4 linked regions of the Arabidopsis thaliana genome follow. The protein of the gene in region 1 interacts with the protein of each later gene in a pairwise test. Each region holds a gene or a part of one and is shown on either strand. Other genes may lie near its edges. The genes, in order: NRT1.9, RK1, DWF1 and LUT1.

Evidence for each region.
Region 2: the proteins of NRT1.9 (region 1) and RK1 interact in a protein complementation assay, tested with the Arabidopsis thaliana proteins (one large-scale study listed by BioGRID).
Region 3: the proteins of NRT1.9 (region 1) and DWF1 interact in a protein complementation assay, tested with the Arabidopsis thaliana proteins (one large-scale study listed by BioGRID).
Region 4: the proteins of NRT1.9 (region 1) and LUT1 interact in a protein complementation assay, tested with the Arabidopsis thaliana proteins (one large-scale study listed by BioGRID).

Annotation. Positions count from the first base shown.
Region 1 is NC_003070.9:6,519,027-6,523,898, reverse strand, and holds NRT1.9 (Major facilitator superfamily protein), read right to left. Parts: upstream 3,179-4,872; 5' UTR 3,100-3,178; coding exon 3,009-3,099; intron 2,959-3,008; exon of another isoform or gene 2,775-2,958; intron 2,505-2,774; coding exon 2,287-2,504; intron 2,190-2,286; coding exon 1,636-2,189; intron 1,559-1,635; coding exon 658-1,558; 3' UTR 531-657; downstream 1-530. Other genes in the region: CDPK1 (calcium-dependent protein kinase 1), read left to right, coding at 1-140, 258-431; AT1G18871 (uncharacterized protein), read left to right, coding at 4,414-4,590; ICS2 (isochorismate synthase 2), read right to left, coding at 4,723-4,770, 4,866-4,872. UniProt on the Arabidopsis thaliana protein: Low-affinity nitrate transporter facilitating nitrate loading into root phloem. Not involved in dipeptides transport, but has a weak glucosinolate transport activity.
Region 2 is NC_003070.9:24,466,844-24,473,017, forward strand, and holds RK1 (receptor kinase 1), read left to right. Parts: upstream 1-1,938; 5' UTR 1,939-2,088; coding exon 2,089-3,367; intron 3,368-3,778; coding exon 3,779-3,913; intron 3,914-4,016; coding exon 4,017-4,207; intron 4,208-4,283; coding exon 4,284-4,494; coding exon of another isoform or gene 4,495-4,499; exon of another isoform or gene 4,500-4,579; coding exon 4,580-4,817; intron 4,818-4,920; coding exon 4,921-5,071; intron 5,072-5,159; coding exon 5,160-5,486; 3' UTR 5,487-5,629; downstream 5,630-6,174. Other genes in the region: AT1G65780 (P-loop containing nucleoside triphosphate hydrolases superfamily protein), read right to left, coding at 1-45. UniProt on the Arabidopsis thaliana protein: Involved in the regulation of cellular expansion and differentiation. Mediates subcellular relocalization of PUB9 from nucleus to plasma membrane in a protein-phosphorylation-dependent manner.
Region 3 is NC_003074.8:6,879,021-6,884,034, reverse strand, and holds DWF1 (cell elongation protein / DWARF1 / DIMINUTO (DIM)), read left to right. Parts: upstream 1-1,719; 5' UTR 1,720-1,823; exon of another isoform or gene 1,824-2,406; 5' UTR 2,407-2,418; coding exon 2,419-3,660; intron 3,661-3,756; coding exon 3,757-4,200; 3' UTR 4,201-4,511; downstream 4,512-5,014. UniProt on the Arabidopsis thaliana protein: Plays a critical role in the general process of plant cell elongation. Involved in the synthesis of campesterol, an early precursor of brassinolide.
Region 4 is NC_003074.8:19,690,761-19,698,107, forward strand, and holds LUT1 (Cytochrome P450 superfamily protein), read left to right. Parts: upstream 1-1,996; 5' UTR 1,997-2,051; coding exon 2,052-2,549; intron 2,550-2,698; coding exon 2,699-2,995; intron 2,996-3,084; coding exon 3,085-3,282; intron 3,283-3,371; coding exon 3,372-3,473; intron 3,474-3,571; coding exon 3,572-3,712; intron 3,713-3,781; coding exon 3,782-3,889; intron 3,890-4,050; coding exon 4,051-4,133; intron 4,134-4,230; coding exon 4,231-4,393; intron 4,394-4,488; coding exon 4,489-4,518; 3' UTR 4,519-4,931; coding exon of another isoform or gene 4,932-5,309; intron 5,310-5,418; coding exon of another isoform or gene 5,419-5,755; intron 5,756-5,863; coding exon of another isoform or gene 5,864-5,928; intron 5,929-6,295; coding exon of another isoform or gene 6,296-6,595; 3' UTR 6,596-6,782; downstream 6,783-7,347. Other genes in the region: VPS37-1 (Modifier of rudimentary (Mod(r)) protein), read right to left, coding at 1-129, 210-330, 422-468, 556-595, 1,026-1,113, 1,208-1,390, 1,717-1,730; AT3G53140 (O-methyltransferase family protein), read left to right, coding at 4,932-5,309, 5,419-5,755, 5,864-5,928, 6,296-6,595; UGT73D1 (UDP-glucosyl transferase 73D1), read right to left, coding at 6,976-7,347. UniProt on the Arabidopsis thaliana protein: Heme-containing cytochrome P450 involved in the biosynthesis of xanthophylls. Specific for epsilon- and beta-ring hydroxylation of alpha-carotene. Has only a low activity toward the beta-rings of beta-carotene.

The sequences.
Region 1 (4,872 bases):
AACTAGCTTTTATGTTTTTCGACAAAGATGGAAGTACATACATTGAACTTGATGAGCTACGGGAAGCTTTAGCGGATGAGTTAGGCGAGCCAGACGCCAGTGTTCTAAGCGACATCATGCGTGAAGTTGACACTGACAAGGTTCTTTCAAATATCCAAAAAAATCCTCCTTTAAGGCCTAACAATAAAGCTTGTCAAGAGAAAAGATATATCCCTCTGCTTCTGAGTCGGATTGTTGGGCTTGTTTGCTTTTTACAGGACGGACGTATAAACTATGATGAGTTTGTGACGATGATGAAAGCTGGAACTGACTGGAGAAAGGCATCGAGACAATATTCAAGAGAGAGGTTCAAAAGCTTAAGCATTAACTTGATGAAAGATGGGTCATTGCATCTCCATGACGCTCTCACTGGACAAACTGTTCCTGTTTAAATTTATTCGTTATCACCAAAAACAGAGCAATGCTCCGTTTTTTCCCCATTTCATAAATTGGGAATTTTCCGGGCTTGTTCTTTGAGGGATGGGAATTTTACGGAAGCTATGGTTCTTTACATATATAAACATTTTACATTGTATTTTGTATGTAATGTTTTGTTCAAAGGTTGTATTTTTATTGTCTCAAAGCCCCTAAACCAAAGAGTCAAAGGAAAGATCTTTATTACACTGACACCTTATCAAACTCAGCAGAAGTCTTGTCCATGTCCTTGTCCTTGGCCACAACATCTTTGTAACGGTACCAATGTGAGACCAACAAGAAATAGGCCAAGTTTAGAGTCATCATACCAGCAACCAAGAAGTAGAAATACTCCAATCTTCCCTTGTTTAAATCTTCCGGAAGCCAACTTCCTCCTGAAAATCCCTCTGTGGTATCGTGTACCGCCGATAACAAAAAGGTGCTGAGGTAACTCGCCAATCCGATTCCACAATAATACAGAGAACCAGCAAAACTTCGCATGTTCTCTGGAAACTGTTTGTAGTAAAACTCCATTTGTCCAACTCCAGCGAGGGCGTCCGCGATACCCATTAGCACTAGCTGAGGAATCAACCACATACCGGACATCGAAGAGATTGCGCCTTTTCTTGGGGCCAACCCTAGCGTCGGTTTTGTGAGAGCTACCTTTCTTCTGTATTGTTCTACAATTGCAGACACCATCATACTTGTGATGCATAGAAACAGTCCTGCTCCAACTCTCTGCAGTTGTGTGATACCGCCGTCTCTGCCTGTATACTTTCTAAGGAAAGGTACAAGGACGCGGTCATAGATAGGTATGAATATCGTCATTCCAAGCATTAGGAAGACGGTATAAGAACCGGCCGGGATCTGGAAACTTCCTGGACCAAGGCGTCTATCGGATTGAAGAGACTGAAAGATTGTGTAGGTTGTTTGTTGAATGTAAGCTAGGTAGAATAAGGCGGCCGAGAGCCAAACCGGAAGCACCCGGATCACGCATTTAACTTCCTCCACTTGTTGCATACTGCAGAGTTTCCATGCATCCACCGGCGACCCATCTTTGTTCAGCTTGTCGTCTTGTGTTTGGATTGCCGATTTGTCAAGAAACCTGCAAATTAAGAAAACCCTAAAATGTTTCTAAGTTGTTCCACAAGAAACTAAGAGAAGTAGTGAGGTTATTAGTACCTGAACTGCTCTGTATGGCCCAATTTCGAGTTCTTGAAATCACTGGCGATGTAGTTGTAAAGCTCGTTAGGCCCAACGGGCTTTAACCGCCTCTTCTTGATCGCGACAACAATGACACGAGTTATGCTGTGAATGGGACTGCCACTAGCTTTAACCTTGACATAGAGCTTAGAACCAGCGAAGAATATGATGCAACCAAGTAGCATTAGAATAGCTGGGATGGCTAAACCAATGCTCCAGCTCACGTTTGACTGAACATAGACGATGAGGGTTAACGACACCATCTGAGCAAACGTGAAGGTGAAGAAATACCAATTGAAGAAACTCTCAATCCCTCGTTTCCCTTCTTTTGTCTTCGGATCGAACTGATCAGCACCAAATGGAAGATTGCATGGCCTAATCCCACCGGCTCCGATCACCAGCAAAACCATTGCTCCGGCGAGAAACATGATTTGTCCGATGGATGGCCCATTGCACACGCTTCCTATTTCCTTAGCGCATTGAGCTGGATGCAGGGGATGAATCACAGCCGTTAGATCCATTGCCACCGAACCCTTTGCATCAAACACAACAAACGATTGAAACTTTCAGACATAATCAGCTAGTTTTTTTTCAAACTGAAAATTGTGATGAATAGGTTTTAGAATTTACGAGAAAGCAAGCGATCATGGCGAAAGATAGGGTCTTGTAGCGGCCAAAGTAGGAGTCACAGAGGAAAGCAGCGACGATGGTGCCAAAGTTGCTTGTGCCACCGTAGATGTTGACGACTTTCGCAGCCGTGATGCTCTTCATGTTGAAAACCGTCGTTAAGTATATAACCAGATTCGATGAACTTCCAACAATCCCCAATTTTTCAAATGTCTCATTTCCTACCAAATTAAGAAACAGAGCATTAAGTTACTCTGTTCATAAAATCCTCTGTTTTCTCTATCAGTTTCTTGTTCGTTTCAAGACCAAAAATGTTATAATAAATAAAAATAAAAAACATGAAAGAAACAGATCCATAAAAAAAGTCCTATGTTTTAATTTTATGAATCAAATGTTTTTTTTGTCAATGAATCAAATGTTTCATAAATAATAATAAAAACATACTAAAAGAGCACGAAATTAATAAATATTCTTATATTTTTGTTTATTTATTTCTAATAAATATTTTTATTTATTTACAAGTATAAAGTCCTCATGTTTTTCCATCAGTTTTTTGTTCGTTTCAAGATTATGAGTGTAAGTAAACAAAAATCATAATTTTGAAACGAACAAGAAACTGATGAAAAAAACATGATGACTTTATACTTGTAAGCAAACAAAAGTATTTATCAAAAAAAAAAAATATATATATATATATATAAGAAAGAATATGGATGAATAAATACCAATGATGAAGGGCATGACTTTCCATCCTCTGTAGATGATCTTAGACTCATCATCCTCTGCAATGTTCTTCTCTGTCTTCTCAACCTCCATTGTTATGTTTTTCTCTATGCTCTGCTCTGCTTTCTCTAAGTGTGTGTAATGTGTTAGTATATGTGTGTGTGTATATATATATTAGTGGGAAGTGAGAAGGATCTCATTATGAGACCAAAAAAGCTATTTGGAGATTATACCAAAACAAAAGTGTTGGATTAGAATATAGATTTGAGTAAAAAGAGTCGGCTTTATCGAAAGGAGAGGACTGGAGTTGGTATTCCTCACTTCATTGTTTTGATTTGTCAACTAACACACTAACGTTCGGATAACTTATTAGTTTATTTGTTGCCATGACTTATGTAATATTCTTAACTCGTTATTTAAACATTAAGTAGCAGTCAAGAGTTCATCTTTAATATCTGTAATATCGACAACGAATCTATCCTTTTACTTTTCATCTAGTAGGTATTCTTAAACAATATGAAAAAATGATAAAAGAAGAAGAAGAAAGCTAAGAAGAGTTGTTTAAGAATCATATATTGTGCCAATACGAACATATTTCTGTAATGTTGACAATTGGCTTTTTAGTTGAATGCAATAAACTTTCAAAAATGCAAAAGGAATCTTCTCGCTACCGTTACTTTTTTTCTTCTCAAAACTTTAATTATGTAAAAGAAACATTTAAGCATGCAAAAGAGAAATAAGGAGACGACCATTGCATTCAAAAATCATGTTGATTCGTTTTGATAAATATGACCCTCAAGAGGGGTAAATTGTATTATTGGCGGTCAACTAATATCCATATTCTTTTTTATTTTACCGATTATAGTTCATGTACATTTCTAGGTTTTTTAAAATATATCTATATAAGTAATGAATGAATGAATTAGACATTTATTTCGAAATTTTCTATACTATCAAAAATAGAAACCCACCGAATTACGATTTAATTTGGAGAACAAGAGTATATGTTAACTAAAAGTCTTATCTAAAAAAGATGTACATTTGCTTCTTCTTTTTCAAGTGATGGGTAAAAGAATATTTATATTAATTTCATAATAAATAGAAAGTTGTCTTTGAAATTATTGCTACAGAAATAAAGCATTTCAATTTTATAGTGAGATATGATTGTGAGAACAATTAGAAGAGAATATGAGTGATGGAGAAGACAGTTTTGATTATCAAGGGAACAAAAAAGTATCTTTTCCTAAATGATATAACCCAAAAAAATCAAATCCCTTTTGATTGGATTAGTCCAAAAGAAACCACCCATCACTTTTCTGAAACCCCATTAGCACACTATCGGTAATCTAATTACGTTCGTTCGTTAATAAGTAGTAATAAAGATTTGTTTTTGGAGCCTTAATTATTATGTTTTGTTATTGTCACATAATATTCCTAAATAATTTGTCATTTTTTCGTGAAGGTGGAAATATACGTCAGCTTTGGATCACAACGTGCGTAAGTGTTTCATTTGATGGACCTCATAGAGTCATAGTCGCTTCAAAGGCTTCTAGTCTGGTCAGAAATTGGACAACAAGTAGCTAAAAGAAGATTTAAAGTGTACCATGCAGCATCATCATTAGTGTTGCTTCTATTTACAATATACACACCAATGACCAAACACACAAATGATACAAACCAATTTAGTTATTAAACAATCTCAATTCCCGCCTTTCTTTAGTTGATTGGTTGCAAAGCTGACTCATGTTCAAGTGACTTAGTGAACTGCAGAAAACACATATCAATCTGATTTGAGATTTCATAAAAGACATGGAAATTGCAGTGAGAGTGTTTAACAACATTCTTGAAGACTTTTTCACCTGAGAG
Region 2 (6,174 bases), about 18 Mb from region 1:
CACCAGATCGACTAAATCTCTTCCTTCAATACGCATTCTCGGCATTTATATTAAAGTTACCAAACTCGATTTCGTACTCTGAAAGATTAACGCAACAAAACCCATTAAACAAGTGAACCCTCAAAGGTACGAACTTTACACTTTTGGCTATAACAGAGAAGCAAAAGGAACTATTTTTACGAGAACCATTGATCATTGAAAGGTAAAGTAAGGTTTTTTCTTCTTTGTTCTTTTTGGTAAACAACGTCTTAGGATTTTGAGATTCGCAATGAAAAACCCTAAATTCTAACGTTGGCTTGAACATTAGAGCGTGTGGCAACGAAATTTGAAGATGATGCAATGAAATTTTAGCCGCTTACTTTGAATTCGAGTTGTTGTTGTCAGAGTTTGATTACTTCGAGACGAAGAAGGGTTTGGTTTTGGGAGACAGGAACAGAGGTTTCTTTTAGAAGGACATGGATGAGTAAGGATTTGGAGGGAAAGGAGGAGAAGAAGTAATTAACTAAAATGGTAAAATTTTGGGGCTTTCTTGAGTTATTTGTTTACTTACGGGTCTACTATGTAAAGTAATTACGTTTCGTATTTAACCGGTTTACACGCTTTCGCAATCTAGCCTATCTACGCCATAAGCTAAACATGACTAGATAGTCCTATAAGGCTATGACAATAATGTTAATTTAAAAAAAGAGGATGTGTTCGTGGATGTTTTAGAGAGAAGCTAGAGAAGAAGAAAGCAATAGAATTTAGTATATTCTAAAATCTATTTCTATTTTTTTTTGCATTTGCATAGTCTTCAACATTAATAATAATTATTTGTATTGACAAAATTTTCATAAAATAAAATCTATGTCAAATAATATTATAAAGACAAAATTTTACACAATAATACAAAATTATATATGAATTAGAAAAAAATGTTGAAGGTAATATAGCAGTTAACAATTTCTTGATTCATTTAAAGAGAGAGTGCATCAATTAAGAGCAAATGTTATGAGATGGCTCAATTCTATGCAAAAATAAAAAGATAAAGTTCTAAAAATATAAAGCATGGAAATAAAATATTGATAACTCCTTCAAGTGGTATTGATGAGTTTATACGATCTGAACAAGTAAGAATCATACAAAACAAATCAAGAATAACAACAACCTATGATTGCACCTAATATTTATTGACAATATTTTGGTGACTTTAAAGGAATTGTACGTTGTAAAATCGTTTATGTAACAAGTCTCATTATTTGTAATAAATAATAAATTTTATAACTAAATTTTATAAATAATAAAACAGAAGGGCCCATAAATATTTTGTGTATTGCTTTTGTTTTTAATAACTAAATTTTATTAGAACTGTCATACAATTTTTTTTAAATAATGTAAAATCTTTAAAAGAAATTTATAAGGGCAGCCAAAAAACAATTTTGTTCTAGAACCCATGATAGAATTGAACCGGTCATGATGCGATGGCCAGTACACACAGCACTACGAATACGAAGCTCTGCCAAACAAATGTCATTTTGTAGTCTAAGGTTAATGATTTACTTGTCTAGCGAATGAAATAGTTGAAGCTTGGTGGTGTAAGTTAATTTCTTTCATGAATTGATATTCGTAGGAAAGGAAAGAAAACCAAAAAAAAAAGATTATTTATAACGAGAAAAACACAAATTAGTTTTATATCTCTCTGAGACACGCATAGGCCTGGCCACACACACACACAAATAAGGAGTGTTGACGAGATTTGTTTCTTTTTTGCGTAAACGAAGAAAGGTCAGTTACTAAGAAAATTACAAAAACACTGATAAGTAAATGTCTATCTAACGAGTTATTTTCTTGTCATTTGCTAGGTCAACTCTATAGTGACAGAGTCTATAGATATTTCAAATGCGAACAAGAAGACCAAGAAAACCAAGAAAACCAAGAAAAGACAGCCGAAAATGAAATATCATCAACAATGTAATATACAGAGTAATCGTGTAAATAACGGCACACATCAACAATAATATGAATCTCCGAAGATAAAAATTCTCAAATTCTCATAAAATTCCCTCAAGAAGAAAGAAAACAGAACACGAGAAACTGTCCTAGAGAGAGATGAGAAGTGTACCAAACTACCACCATTCTTTCTTCATTTTCCTCATTTTAATTCTGTTTCTTGCTTTCTCTGTTTCTCCAAACACTCTTTCAGCCACAGAATCTCTCACTATCTCAAGCAACAAAACCATTATATCTCCTAGTCAAATCTTCGAGCTCGGTTTCTTCAATCCCGCATCAAGTTCGCGTTGGTATCTCGGCATATGGTACAAGATAATCCCTATAAGAACCTACGTATGGGTTGCAAACAGAGACAATCCTCTCTCTAGCTCCAACGGAACTCTCAAAATATCCGGCAATAACCTCGTCATTTTCGATCAGTCCGATAGGCCTGTTTGGTCGACGAATATAACCGGAGGAGATGTGAGATCACCAGTGGCTGCAGAGCTTCTTGATAACGGTAATTTCTTGCTCAGAGACTCCAATAACAGACTTCTATGGCAGAGTTTCGATTTTCCGACAGATACTTTACTTGCGGAGATGAAATTGGGATGGGATCAGAAAACCGGATTCAACAGGATCTTGAGATCCTGGAAAACAACAGATGATCCATCAAGCGGTGAGTTTTCGACAAAACTCGAAACCAGCGAGTTCCCTGAGTTTTACATATGCAGCAAGGAGTCGATACTATACCGCAGCGGTCCATGGAATGGAATGCGTTTTAGCAGCGTACCAGGGACAATTCAAGTTGATTACATGGTTTACAATTTCACAGCAAGTAAGGAGGAAGTGACTTACTCATACCGAATCAACAAAACAAACTTATACTCGAGATTATACTTAAACTCTGCGGGTTTATTACAACGATTGACTTGGTTTGAGACAACACAGAGTTGGAAGCAACTATGGTACTCACCGAAGGACCTATGCGATAACTACAAAGTGTGCGGGAATTTCGGTTATTGCGACTCGAACAGTTTACCAAATTGTTATTGTATCAAAGGGTTTAAGCCAGTGAATGAGCAAGCGTGGGACTTGAGAGATGGCTCCGCTGGTTGCATGAGGAAGACGAGGCTGAGCTGTGACGGTAGAGATGGTTTTACCCGGTTGAAGAGGATGAAATTGCCAGATACCACGGCGACAATTGTGGACAGAGAAATTGGGTTGAAAGTATGTAAAGAAAGGTGTCTAGAAGATTGTAATTGCACTGCGTTCGCTAATGCGGATATTCGCAATGGCGGGTCTGGTTGTGTGATTTGGACCAGAGAGATTTTGGATATGCGAAATTATGCTAAGGGAGGTCAGGATCTTTACGTTAGACTAGCCGCTGCTGAACTCGGTTAGTTTCTTTCTTATTTGCATTTACTAAAGTGGTTCTTACTTTTTGTTTTGATTAAAAAGTTATGACCCAAAGTCAATATATCTTCCCAATCTGCGGACCAAGTCATGTAATATTGTCCCTCTCGAAGCAAAGTTCAAACTCCCTAATCTATAGAGGCTTTGGTCAACAAAGTACATTCTTGATGTTTGGTCAATTTGTTTAGTTTTTTTTTTTTGTCATCTGTTTTTAATTAGAGATCAAAAGATTAATAAGAGTTTAGCTAGATCCAATACCATTATACCAAAAAGAATTTTTGTTTAAGTTAAATTAATTATTTTGTTTATTTTTCGTATTAATTTTTTTTAATCAAACGTACAACAAAGGATATTTTTCGTATAGAAGTAAATATATGCCTCGTTTTTATTGCAGAGGACAAGAGAATCAAAAATGAAAAAATTATAGGTTCGAGTATTGGAGTGAGCATTTTGCTTCTTTTAAGTTTTGTCATCTTCCATTTTTGGAAAAGGAAGCAGAAGCGATCAATAACAATTCAAACACCTAATGGTAAAATAAATCATTAGCTTTCATTTCCTTTATTTTTGTCAATAAATTTTGATAATCAAATGTCTTGATTGTTTTTTTTTTTTTTAACGCCTGAATGAAACAGTTGATCAAGTGAGAAGCCAAGACTCGCTAATCAACGATGTGGTAGTATCTAGGAGGGGTTACACATCCAAAGAAAAAAAAAGTGAGTACCTAGAGCTTCCATTGTTGGAGTTGGAAGCTCTTGCCACGGCAACAAACAATTTTTCTAACGACAACAAGCTTGGACAAGGTGGATTCGGAATTGTTTACAAGGTAAAAGTGATTCAAAACATATTGAAAATCTACCACAGCACATGGTTTCATTGTATAATCACATGTGTGGTAATAGGGAAGATTACTTGACGGAAAAGAAATTGCGGTAAAGAGACTATCGAAAATGTCCTCACAAGGGACCGATGAGTTCATGAACGAGGTTAGATTAATTGCAAAGCTTCAGCACATAAACCTTGTCCGGCTTCTAGGTTGTTGCGTCGATAAGGGTGAGAAGATGTTGATCTATGAGTACTTGGAGAATTTAAGCCTTGACTCGCATCTCTTTGGTTAGTGACTCAAACAGCTTCTGTTCTAATAATTGAACATTTTTGTGAAAACGTTAACTTGTTGTTGGTTGTGTTGGATGTGTAGACCAAACACGAAGCTCTAACTTAAATTGGCAAAAGAGATTTGATATTATCAATGGTATTGCTAGAGGACTTCTATATCTTCACCAAGATTCACGGTGTAGGATTATCCATAGAGACTTGAAAGCAAGTAACGTATTGCTTGATAAAAATATGACTCCAAAGATCTCGGATTTCGGTATGGCGAGGATCTTTGGACGGGAGGAGACAGAGGCTAATACAAGGAGGGTGGTCGGAACTTAGTAAGCAATCATTCTTCAACAAAACAAAAAAAGAGCTTTTATCTCAAGTCCAAATATTTTCTTAAAAACCTCATAACATATGAGTTTATATTTTGTTATGCAGCGGCTACATGTCTCCAGAATATGCAATGGACGGGATATTCTCGATGAAGTCGGATGTTTTCAGCTTTGGGGTCTTGCTTCTAGAGATTATAAGTGGAAAAAGAAACAAAGGATTCTACAACTCAAACCGTGATCTTAATCTCCTCGGTTTTGTAAGCTAAAAACCTCTTCAATTCGATATTGTTTTGCATTCATAATCTGATTATAACACTAAAGAAATATTACATCCTTTATGCACAGGTGTGGAGGCATTGGAAGGAAGGAAACGAGCTAGAGATTGTAGATCCGATCAACATCGATTCTTTGTCATCAAAGTTCCCGACACATGAAATCTTAAGATGTATACAAATTGGTCTCTTGTGTGTTCAAGAACGAGCCGAAGACAGACCAGTGATGTCCTCGGTAATGGTGATGCTTGGAAGCGAAACTACCGCTATTCCTCAGCCTAAACGTCCTGGATTTTGCATTGGTAGAAGTCCTCTTGAGGCTGATTCTTCTTCAAGTACACAGCGCGACGATGAATGTACAGTGAACCAAATCACTCTCTCGGTCATTGACGCTCGGTAATTTGTAACTTACGGCCCAATCTGTTTACATGCATATCATTTTATAGGTAAGTCTAAATAGATTTTATTACTACATATATGATTCGATATCTTGCTCTATCTAATTTAATTTAGACAAAAGATTCACCACATGTTTCACATGATTTTGATTTAGAGCGAGAATTATAAAAAAAAAACATTTAGACAAAGACAAAAAAATGCAAGATTTGGAGTTGTCACTCCAAGATTTGAAGTTTGAGACCGAAACTCAATTAAGTGGGAATTCAGTAATGATTAATATTCACTTTTTGTACATACTACTGATAATAGACCAATACTGGAAGCGAACATAGGACTTTATGGCTATTACAACAGAGGACTTTATGAAACAAATCGAATATATACCTTAAACTTTTATGAATTCATCGGTGAAGCATTCTCTTGCATATAACATTTAGTATGTCGCCAGCAACATTGAAATTTTGTCTATTCTCGTACACACACACACAAATGGTTGAGGATATTATTTTTTTGGAGTAAACGAAGAAAAGTCAGTTACTAGGAAATTACAAAACCATAATTATCAATTTAACGACTTTTAAGGTCATTGACTCAATTCTATAGTGACATAGTCTATAGATATTTCAAAAGCGAACAAGAAGACCAAGAAAATGTAGCTGAAAATGAAATATTATCAACAATAGAGAGAA
Region 3 (5,014 bases), on another chromosome or scaffold:
AACATTGGTGTGATTACACGACCTTGTAACGGTTTAAAACTTTGTCAAGCGTCAACCAAATTTTCACTGACGTCAAACTGTCAATGTCAAAAGGTGTGATTCGCCAAATAGACATTTATTTTTCCATACTACAAAAAAATGATTTGTAGCTGTAAATGTGAGTAAGAAATTAGTTGGCATATTTTAAAGAGTAAATATATTTTATGAGAGATTTTGCAAGAGCTGGATATTTTCTCAGACAGGCCATCATCCCTGTAATTTTTTTTTTCTTTCTATGTCAAATAAATAAATAATTACTTTTTGGCGACAAAAAAAACTTTTTGAGCACTTCATTACTTTAAAGTGTAACCATTTTTCTAAATAAATCATGATTTTATTTGCTTTTCTAAATCAACTATTAAAATACTTAGGTGGAAATCAAATAATTGGTTACAGTAACAGAATTATATATTGAGAGCCTTTTTCACCAAATAACGTGATAGTTTGTGTGTTTATTACTGTATTATGTAGGCACTGATAATGATACAAATGATTTCATATATGAATTTTGATGAAAAGCATGGCTATTGGGATTTGGGAAAACATTTCTCATCACAGCCGTAGTTTTTTTTTTTATATAAATAAGAGGCATTTTATATAAAATTTTTTACTACACATTAGTTTCTAAAATACTACATTGTAATCTGAATAAGATGAAAGTGAATGACTAATTCACAATTGTTTTGGCTTAAAAAAAACACTCATTTGAAGATCCCTTAAGAGTTGAGAGAAAGATATAAGGAACTCTCATTAGCATTCATAATGTATAATGTTTTCAAGATATTTTAGGCAGTGCTTTTTTTGCTTCAATCATAACATATCAAAACTAAATGTTAAAGATTGTTGTAATAACTATTATGATAAGAAAAGTTGTAATGAACTTTTTGCCAATAAACAATATATAAGATCGTCGGCTTAGTAACCTCACGAGGATGGAATGTGCTTTAGGTACATCAACAAACATGTAGGAGGACTGTTTCGCTAAAAGCATTTAGAAAACAAAAATCAATACAATCAACCCATAAAATGCATTTAAAAAAAAAACGAATTGGACAATTACATTTCCTTCATTGGGCACATGTCTTCCTGTAATTTATTGTGATTTACATACCAAAAGAAAGATATATTTTTCTATTTAAAAGAAATTTAAACTGCTAAGATTTGTTGCCTTTTTTTATTTATTTGCTTTTACCTATTTATAGCAGTAAACTCTTTTCAGAAAAAATATCCCTACAAAGAATTTGTCCTCATATTCCTTTTATATGCTAACTGCTAAGTAAGAAATTATATTTTGGAAGATATGTCTAATTAAGCTCTAGGTTCGATTTACATATAATTTCTAAATGTTAAAAGAGTTGGTAAAAATATATTAAATACTGATATAAGTAAAAACAATTTATTTTTATTTTCTTACATCAGAATTATAAACTAAAAAATTGCTCATAAATATAACACATGTGATTTATCAACATTACAACTAACATCGAATTTTTAATTGCGATAACAACAAAGAAACTTAGAAATATGAAAAACCACTTATACAAACCCATGAAAAATATACATTATATATTTCTTAATTTCTATATTTTTGCGTTATTATTACCTTTTTTATTTTAAAATTATATAAAAAAATGGGAAATAAAAAATACCTTGTTTTGAGCGAAAAATGCAAGTGAAGCAGGCTGGCTTGAATCACGTTTTATTATAAAGACAAATGCTCTCACACTCTTGGGGACACTTTCACATCTCATCCTCTCACTCTCTCTCTCCTTTGGATTCTTCAGGTACTCTCTCTACCTCTCTTTCTCTCTCTGTCTCAGTCGCTGACTTATCATTTCCTGTCGTTAGATCTCTCAGTACTTGGTTCATAGTTGTTTCATAGCACGCACTAGTGAACTATGTGGGTTTTTTAATTTTAATCATCTCAGTCTTGGAGAATTTCAAACAAAGTTTCAAACTTTGCTCACCAACTTTTATTTATTTATTTTGGTGGTAGAAAACAGACTTTGATGGCTTTGTAGGAATACTAGATGTGTAGATCTAAAGATTATAACCATTTTCTGTGTTCTTGTTCTTTCAGAACATAACTTCATGTCTTTTTGTCTCTCTGTTCACTAGCTCTCTGTTTCCATGGACTCCACACTATCTTCTTCTTACAGATTTATTTCATACACATACACTGATACACATGTGTGTATACGTATGTGTTTATGTGTGCTTATTATACTCTTTTTGGATTCAAGAAACTAATCTTTAGTATTTTTGACATTCTGGTAGATTTATGCTCACTTCTTAGGCCTTGTTGACTTTTACAGTGATGGATTTTGAAACTCTGGTTGATTTGATTTTCTTTTTGGTTTGATGCAGTGAGGAGAGGAAATGTCGGATCTTCAGACACCGCTTGTGAGGCCCAAGAGGAAGAAGACTTGGGTTGATTACTTTGTCAAGTTCAGATGGATCATTGTCATCTTCATCGTCCTTCCATTCTCAGCCACATTCTACTTCCTCATCTACCTCGGGGACATGTGGTCAGAGTCCAAGTCCTTTGAGAAACGTCAGAAGGAACACGACGAGAATGTCAAGAAAGTCATCAAAAGGCTTAAGGGTAGGGATGCTTCCAAGGACGGGCTTGTCTGCACTGCTCGTAAGCCCTGGATCGCTGTTGGAATGAGGAACGTTGACTACAAGAGAGCCCGGCATTTCGAGGTTGACTTGGGGGAGTTCCGTAACATCCTTGAGATCAACAAGGAGAAGATGACTGCTAGAGTGGAGCCTCTTGTTAACATGGGACAGATTTCCCGTGCTACCGTCCCAATGAACCTGTCTCTCGCTGTTGTTGCTGAGCTTGATGACCTTACCGTTGGTGGACTTATCAATGGATATGGTATTGAAGGAAGCTCTCACATCTACGGTTTGTTTGCTGATACCGTTGAGGCTTACGAGATTGTTCTTGCGGGTGGAGAGCTTGTCCGCGCCACAAGGGATAATGAGTATTCTGATCTTTACTACGCAATCCCGTGGTCGCAAGGAACTCTTGGACTCCTTGTAGCTGCTGAGATCAGGCTTATTAAAGTCAAGGAGTACATGAGACTCACTTACATACCAGTCAAGGGTGATCTTCAAGCCTTAGCTCAAGGTTACATTGATTCTTTTGCTCCCAAAGACGGTGACAAGTCGAAAATCCCGGATTTCGTCGAAGGCATGGTTTACAATCCAACGGAAGGAGTGATGATGGTTGGAACATATGCATCTAAAGAAGAGGCAAAGAAGAAAGGGAACAAAATCAACAATGTGGGATGGTGGTTCAAGCCGTGGTTCTACCAGCACGCGCAGACCGCCCTGAAAAAGGGACAGTTTGTTGAGTACATCCCAACTCGTGAATACTACCACAGGCACACAAGGTGCTTGTACTGGGAAGGGAAGCTTATTCTTCCATTTGGTGATCAGTTCTGGTTTAGGTACCTCTTAGGTTGGTTGATGCCTCCAAAGGTCTCTCTTCTTAAGGCCACTCAAGGTGAAGCTATCAGGAACTATTACCATGATATGCATGTTATTCAGGATATGCTTGTTCCTCTTTACAAGGTTGGCGATGCACTCGAATGGGTCCACCGCGAAATGGAGGTAAAACTAAAAGCTCGGTTTCATGATTGATCATCTTCTAGTTAAAGTTTCTTTTGATGTTATTAACAAAATCATGAATTGTTTGTTCTCTTTCAGGTGTATCCAATTTGGCTTTGCCCACACAAACTCTTCAAGCAGCCAATCAAAGGCCAAATCTACCCAGAGCCAGGCTTCGAGTACGAAAACAGACAAGGAGACACAGAAGATGCACAGATGTACACTGATGTTGGAGTCTACTACGCACCTGGCTGTGTCCTAAGAGGTGAAGAGTTTGATGGATCAGAAGCAGTGCGTAGGATGGAGAAATGGCTGATAGAGAACCATGGATTCCAGCCTCAGTACGCGGTGTCTGAGCTCGACGAGAAGAGCTTCTGGAGAATGTTTAATGGTGAATTGTATGAGGAGTGCCGCAAGAAGTATAGAGCTATTGGAACGTTCATGAGTGTTTACTACAAGTCCAAGAAAGGAAGGAAGACTGAGAAAGAAGTTAGAGAAGCCGAACAAGCTCATCTCGAAACTGCTTATGCCGAGGCAGATTAAGTAATAATAAGCCTTGGTTTGATGTAATGGCTCGGGATGATTATTGTTATTCCTAGTAGTGTCTGTTATGTTGTTGTTTCCTAATTTCAGTTTTAGTGTCTTGAAGACTCTTGTTGTTGTTGTTTGCTTCTTGTTGTTGTTTGACTCATTCTGGTTTGAGTGGATTTTAGAGTTTAAAACTTTTGGATTTGCCTATGAAATTGAAGGTTTCCGGTTTTATCGTGTTGCTTGACTGTCACAATGTAAGCATGTTGCTGTAATGAATTAATTGATCTACCAATTTGAGAGATCATTTCAACTTCTCTCTTTATACCACCACCAACTAGGCTTTAGATCATTCACGACGTGAATCTAAAACACTAAAACCCGACTTTGTTAGTTTTATTGGGGTGCGGTTAGGTTTGATATAAACCTGGAAATACCGGTATTTGAACCGAAGTTGACCGGGTGAGACTTTTTAGGATAAACCCAAGCAGCCATTTCCGAGTAAGAAGAGCTCTGTTTCTGAAAGAAGTTTTACAGAGTCGATCGTCTAAAGCGTTGTTGAAGCACTTGTTAGTGGTAAGTAATTTCGATTTATTAATTCTTGTTGTATCTTTTGTATTCGAAGTTACTTGCTTGTTTTTCGATTTCGTCTCCGTCATGATGTTTGCGGCTCTGTTAATTGGAAGTGGAAAGGTCTGTCCTTTATCTACATAAAATGGTGCATAGAAGGTGTTCGACCAAATTCCTAGCTCAAATTCCTTTAGTTACATTAGCTCTGACTGGAATGTAACTGTGAAGTCTCGATACCCAATTCATTCTTTTCAAAAAC
Region 4 (7,347 bases), on another chromosome or scaffold:
TCAATGCTCGTCGATGATAGGTAGTACGAAGCTTCTTGTATTTCTGCACAAATGCTGCTGTATCAATCTCCTTCTCTAGGAACTTTTCTTGCAGGGCTTCGGATTCTTCATCCACCTGATTCATAGCCTCTGCAAAACAAGTAAAAGGTGTTTAGAACAGTAGAGAAAATGAGACGAGGGGAGAATCCATTGCAATGGTAAATTGTTACCTTGAAGTTTATGAAGAAGAGAACCAGGGGAGTAGAATTTGAGGATCTCTTCTTTTTGCCTCTCAAGCTCATTAAGCTTTTCTTGCGCAGTTGCGAGCTCAGTTGTACGGATAATTCTGCACTGTAAAATAAGTAAAGACTGGTAAATCAGAGATATCGAAAAGGTATAACATGGTAAAACTGAACAAGAAAAGTTGGTTCTTGATACACACTTGGTTTCTGAGCTCCATTATCTGTGGCTCCTTCTCCAAGTTGTCTCCTGTTACATTTGATCAAATGGAAAGTTCTAGATTTCTGGATTGAACTAAAGTTTCCTGTAGAATTACATGAACCATAGAGTACTTACTAGCTAGCTGCAATGTTTCTCTACGGAGCTCATCTTTGATCTGACGGACAGAAACAAATCACGAAAAAATTAACGTCCAGAGACTATAACAAGGAACCAGAAAGCTGATGACATGATACAGGCTTTATCAAACAATATCAATGTATAGACTTGAAAGAGCACTAATGAATTATATCAACACAGAACTAAAGAAGCTACATATTCTTAGAGCTACAGATAAGACCCTCGGTTATCCAGAAACAACCGACTGTTTTAGAGACTATAACAAAGAACCAGAAAGCTCTAATTACTGGCAACATGTAGAAGATGACGCCATGATAAAGGCTTCCTCAAACAATATCAATGTATATACTTGAAAGAGCACCAATGAATAATATCAACACATAACTAACGAAGCTCCATTCTTAGGACTACAATTAATAGTAATACTCTTAGCTATCCAGAAACAACTGACTGTTTTAGAGACTTACATTATTCTGGACTTTGACCTGGTCAAGAGAGAGCAGAAATTGCTGATACGCATCTTTGTCAGAGAGAAGCTTCCTGAGTTCATCCACGCTACAGAAAAGTATACACTATTCAAAAAGAAGACATACAAAAAAAACGCACACTCGAGAGAAGGATAACAAACAAACAAACAAAAAGAGCAAACCTTTTGTCTTTCAAGAAGACGATAATGCCAGCTGCTTCACCCGGTGATACTTGTGCTGAAATCTGACCTGAACTTTGAGGCCGGGATGAGCTTGGCGAGCTAACTAAAGAAGGCGAGTACCATGGCGACTGTGAAGAAGCTTCCTGAGGACGAGATTGCCCTTGTTGTTGGTCTTTTGATCCCCTTCACGTACACAACAAAAAAAAGAAACATCATCAACTAACTATCTCAGCTTCCAAGTTAATATAATACATCACCTCATAAACTTGAAAGGTGCATTTATACAGCACATCATTGTAAACCTAATATCAGTAACTATGAACCCTAAATCAGTAGCTGAGCAAAATCTACACTTGTCAATTCACCTCAAAAACCTCAAATATATCATTATAGCTCAACAAACTACACAACAACAAGATTTCCTTAATCGCTAACAGACCTAATGTCTGGATCACGCAATTTCATCAATAACATATGAATCAGATGGCAAAAAATTCGCAAAATCATACCAGAAATTGAACATCGTTTCTAGAATTCGCCGACTAACGAAAGGAATTGACTTTTTCTTGTTCTCTTGTACTTCTTCTTCCTACCAGATCGACAAAATTTAACAACTTTACAGAAACAGAGTTTACAGAGTTTCAAAGAAAATTCGATCTTCTCTGTTTCGTTTCAGATTTTGCTACTTGCTTTTAAAAGGCCCAAATACGAGGAGGCCCATATTAAGTTTTGATTAACAAAACGTAGTCGTTTTATGCATCGTCGTCCTTATCCACGCGTAACGGTTCGCGTTTCTACACAGAGTCAAATATTTCTGCACGGAAGCTTCGAAAAGAGGTCATCAATGGAGTCTTCACTCTTTTCTCCATCTTCCTCTTCTTACTCTTCTCTCTTCACTGCAAAACCTACGCGTCTTTTATCACCAAAACCCAAATTCACATTCTCCATCAGATCCTCCATTGAGAAACCCAAACCCAAACTCGAGACCAATTCATCGAAATCCCAATCATGGGTCAGTCCCGATTGGCTCACAACACTCACTCGTACCCTTTCCTCAGGAAAAAACGACGAGTCAGGTATACCAATCGCGAACGCGAAGCTCGACGATGTCGCTGATCTCCTCGGAGGTGCTCTCTTCTTACCTCTCTACAAATGGATGAATGAGTACGGACCCATTTACCGTCTCGCTGCTGGTCCTCGTAATTTCGTAATTGTGAGCGACCCAGCGATAGCTAAACATGTTTTGAGGAATTATCCAAAGTACGCTAAAGGCTTAGTCGCTGAAGTCTCTGAATTTCTATTTGGTTCGGGTTTCGCTATCGCTGAAGGACCTCTTTGGACAGTAATTTCATCTCCTCCTATCTCAATTTTGAAGTTTTTGGAATTGTGGAAGTAATGTGTGACTGTCTTGTATGATAAGTAACTCTAATTTTAGGGTTTAGATTCCAATCTTCTCTATTGGGCTTAGCTGAAGTCTGATTTTTTACATAGGCGAGGCGTAGAGCGGTGGTTCCATCGCTTCACAGGAGGTATTTGTCTGTGATTGTGGAGAGAGTATTCTGCAAATGTGCAGAGAGGCTTGTTGAGAAGTTGCAGCCTTATGCAGAAGACGGAAGTGCTGTGAATATGGAAGCGAAGTTCTCTCAGATGACACTTGATGTCATTGGGTTGTCTCTTTTTAACTACAATTTCGATTCTTTGACTACTGATAGTCCTGTCATTGAAGCTGTTTACACTGCTCTTAAAGAAGCTGAGCTTCGTTCTACTGATCTTCTGCCATATTGGAAGGCAAGTTTCCTGTGTTTTTTCTGTGGTTTGTTGATTGTGTGGAACAATTGGATTCTTGTTAATTGAGAGGGTTTGGTTGTTTTTTTCAGATCGATGCATTGTGTAAGATAGTCCCGAGACAGGTGAAAGCTGAAAAGGCTGTAACTTTGATAAGGGAAACTGTTGAAGACCTTATTGCTAAGTGTAAAGAAATTGTCGAAAGAGAAGGCGAAAGAATCAATGATGAGGAGTATGTAAATGATGCTGACCCAAGTATCCTGCGTTTCTTGCTTGCAAGCAGAGAAGAGGTTTAAACTTTTTTCCTTAAGTTTATAAGCAAATTTGGCCTTTCATTATCGCATAATCGAAGCTGATGTTGCATTGTGAGGGTTTTCAGGTATCAAGTGTGCAGTTACGGGATGATCTTCTCTCAATGCTCGTAGCGGGTCATGAAACCACTGGATCTGTCCTCACTTGGACACTTTATCTCCTAAGTAAGGTACCTTAATGTATCTTCTACTTTGCTATGCTAGAGAATTTACTTGGATGGGAGCTTCTCTGTTCTCATTTACCTCTTCAAATTCTCTATGTTCATAGAACTCATCTGCATTAAGGAAAGCACAAGAAGAAGTAGACAGAGTGTTAGAAGGAAGAAACCCGGCTTTCGAGGATATAAAGGAGTTGAAGTACATCACTCGTTGTATAAACGAGTCAATGCGTCTCTATCCTCATCCTCCTGTAAGCAATCAAGCTCATCTCTCTAATTATTCATGAACTAAATTTTCTGATTGATTTGTTTCCTGGTAGGTCTTGATAAGAAGAGCTCAAGTTCCTGACATTCTTCCTGGGAACTATAAGGTCAATACCGGACAAGACATTATGATTTCAGTCTATAACATCCATCGTTCTTCCGAGGTACAGTTCTCTTCCTTCTCTCGTCCATAGTATAACATAGGGGAGCCTAATCCTTCTCTTCAATGATCTTTGTGTGGTTCGGATATCTAACCGGAGTGGACATTCCTAGTATTACATTCATGCCCACATTTCTTATGTGTTTGTTGTTTGTTATTCCAAAGGTATGGGAAAAAGCTGAGGAATTTCTGCCTGAACGATTCGACATAGATGGCGCAATCCCTAACGAAACAAACACTGATTTCAAGTAAACTCAGTAGAACACATCTTTTGACACAAACTACTGAATCAAGATTAGTGGTTTTGATTAGGGAATTTAAAAGATGATTTTCTTTTTTCACCAGATTCATCCCATTCAGTGGAGGGCCTAGAAAATGTGTAGGCGATCAGTTTGCATTGATGGAGGCAATTGTGGCACTCGCGGTGTTTCTTCAGCGGTTAAACGTTGAGCTGGTTCCTGATCAGACCATTAGCATGACCACAGGAGCAACCATACACACCACCAATGTATGCCAATGTTCTCACACTCGAGAGATTAATGAGAGTGTCTGTTTTGTTTAGAATGATTCCAATTTCTCTAATGCTGATATTTTCAATTTCAGGGATTGTATATGAAGGTGAGCCAAAGGTAAAAACCAGAATTTATGTTTTCATGATAATTGATTGGTGTGAATGGACTTGTTTCATAGTACTCTTGAGAAATAACCACAAAAAAATGAATTATGGAAAATAGTTGTACCATCGGAAATGTGAATTTTGAACAGTGAGATGCTAGTACCATTAAAGTTTGGTAATTGTGTTATCATTTCAAATCAAACTTTCATACAGCTTGTGTTTGTTCTCCATTTTTCAGTAATTACGAAAATCAAAATTTTATTTTTTTTTGAATTTCTAAATAATAGACTAAGGTCTAAAACCATCCCATTCCATATGGACCACACGTAACATTAACCTTAAAAACCATATAAAACCATATAAAACCAATACTAGTGGGTTCTATAGCGATGTGTAGTTTCACTTTCACGTACGAGGAAGATTAAAAAAAATGGAGAACGAAAGCTCAGAGAGTAGAAACAGAGCTCGTCTTGCCATTATGGAGCTTGCTAACATGATTAGCGTTCCCATGTCTCTCAATGCCGCCGTGCGACTAGGCATTGCCGACGCCATTTGGAACGGCGGAGCCAATTCTCCTCTCTCTGCCGCCGAGATCCTCCCTCGCCTCCACCTACCATCTCACACTACCATTGGTGGCGACCCCGAGAATCTTCAGCGTATACTTCGGATGCTCACCAGCTACGGTGTCTTCTCCGAACACCTTGTTGGATCCATTGAGAGGAAATACTCTCTTACGGACGTCGGAAAAACTCTTGTAACCGACTCCGGCGGCCTCTCTTACGCTGCCTACGTCCTCCAACATCACCAGGTTTATGACTCATTTTCATTTTCCAAAATTGGAGTGATATATTAAAGGACTAATGATGGTATAATAAACTAATGTCTAAAACTTGTTGTGAAAATGATATATATTACAGGAGGCGTTGATGCGAGCATGGCCACTAGTTCACACGGCAGTGGTGGAGCCGGAGACAGAGCCGTACGTGAAAGCAAACGGCGAGGCGGCATACGCTCAGTATGGGAAAAGTGAGGAGATGAATGGTCTAATGCAAAAGGCAATGTCTGGCGTATCTGTACCGTTCATGAAAGCTATATTAGACGGCTACGATGGGTTTAAATCAGTGGATATTTTGGTTGACGTAGGAGGTAGTGCAGGGGATTGTCTGCGTATGATCCTTCAACAATTTCCTAACGTCCGTGAAGGGATTAATTTCGATTTACCTGAAGTTGTTGCCAAAGCCCCCAATATTCCTGGTGAGATTTTGTATTTATGATATATTGTACGTACGTTATTTTCTGAAAGTAAAAAGCTATTTTTAGTAATGTACGGAGTAATAATGGATGATATATTGTATGGTTTAGGAGTGACTCACGTGGGTGGGGATATGTTCCAATCAGTTCCTAGCGCTGACGCTATCTTCATGAAGGTTTGTTGTAACATTATTGTCTGTCACGAGAATACACCTACTAACATTTTTGCTAATAGGACGAATTCTAGTTTCTGTATATAGTTTTAATGTTTAGTGATATAGGTATAAATTTATAAGTCGCTTCGGACAATATGTTTGGTAGTATATAGTCTTAGTTATCGTTAGATCATGCGACTGGTCACTTTCATTTATTTATGATCATTTAAATATTGATTATACATTTCTCAAACCAAAAACTTGTGATCTGTTAGACCATGGATAGGGATCTCATGTTTGTTGAAAGAACAACACAAACAAATACACACATTTTTTGCTTCTCTGGTCCCAAATTAATATCTTGTAATATTGTTGTTTGAGTGTAAAGTGGGTGTTAACGACATGGACGGATGAAGAATGCAAGCAGATAATGAAGAATTGCTACAACGCGTTACCAGTTGGAGGAAAGCTGATTGCGTGTGAGCCGGTCTTGCCTAAGGAAACCGATGAAAGTCACCGGACTCGTGCCTTGTTAGAAGGTGACATCTTTGTCATGACCATCTATAGAACCAAAGGTAAGCATAGAACCGAAGAAGAGTTTATAGAGCTTGGTCTCTCCGCGGGATTCCCTACTTTTCGACCTTTCTACATTGATTACTTCTACACCATCTTAGAGTTTCAGAAGTAATATTCAAGCATTTTTCTTCTCATATTTCTAAAAGCTTCAAAATAATGAATCAAAAGACCTCTTTGTTAATTGAGTTGAGATATCTAGTGAAGACATTAATATTTTCATCAAGATGTAATAATCTAAAGTCTATATTCTAAGTGCATCCTTAAAAGGCATTTTCCATATATATAAGTTTCATCTTTCGAGAAAAAGGAAAAAAGACTCTTTAAGTGATGATTTCAAGAGTATTTCTAAATCACTCATTAGGCTAAGAGAAGAGTTCGAAAGTATACATATTATGCACATTATATCTATATGAATTTTTCTTCTTTGGCAAAAAGAAAAATCGTTTGGTGTTATTCTTATAAATCTTATGTCAACTTCTACATTCGATTTTTCTACACGAGACTCAATTGCTCCAAAACATCTTGGATTAAAATTGAAACGTTAATACTCGAAGATCCCTTTTCTTCCACAGCCTTTTTCGCCATTACTGCAAGTTCTTGAATACGTCTCCTTCGTCTCACGAATTCATTATCATCATCATTTTCGTCTACACGTTGACAATCTTGGTCCATCAAAAGCTTTATAGCTTTCACAACACTCGGTTTCTTGACCAACACTCCAAGTCTCTCCTCGTCTCCCCATCTCACCGGAATCTCCACCCCAACCCTAACCCCGATGTTCAAAACCTCCACGATGAGTTTCTCATTGAGAAATTGTTCAGCGAACAACGGCCATGTGATCATTGGTACACCAAAACATATCGC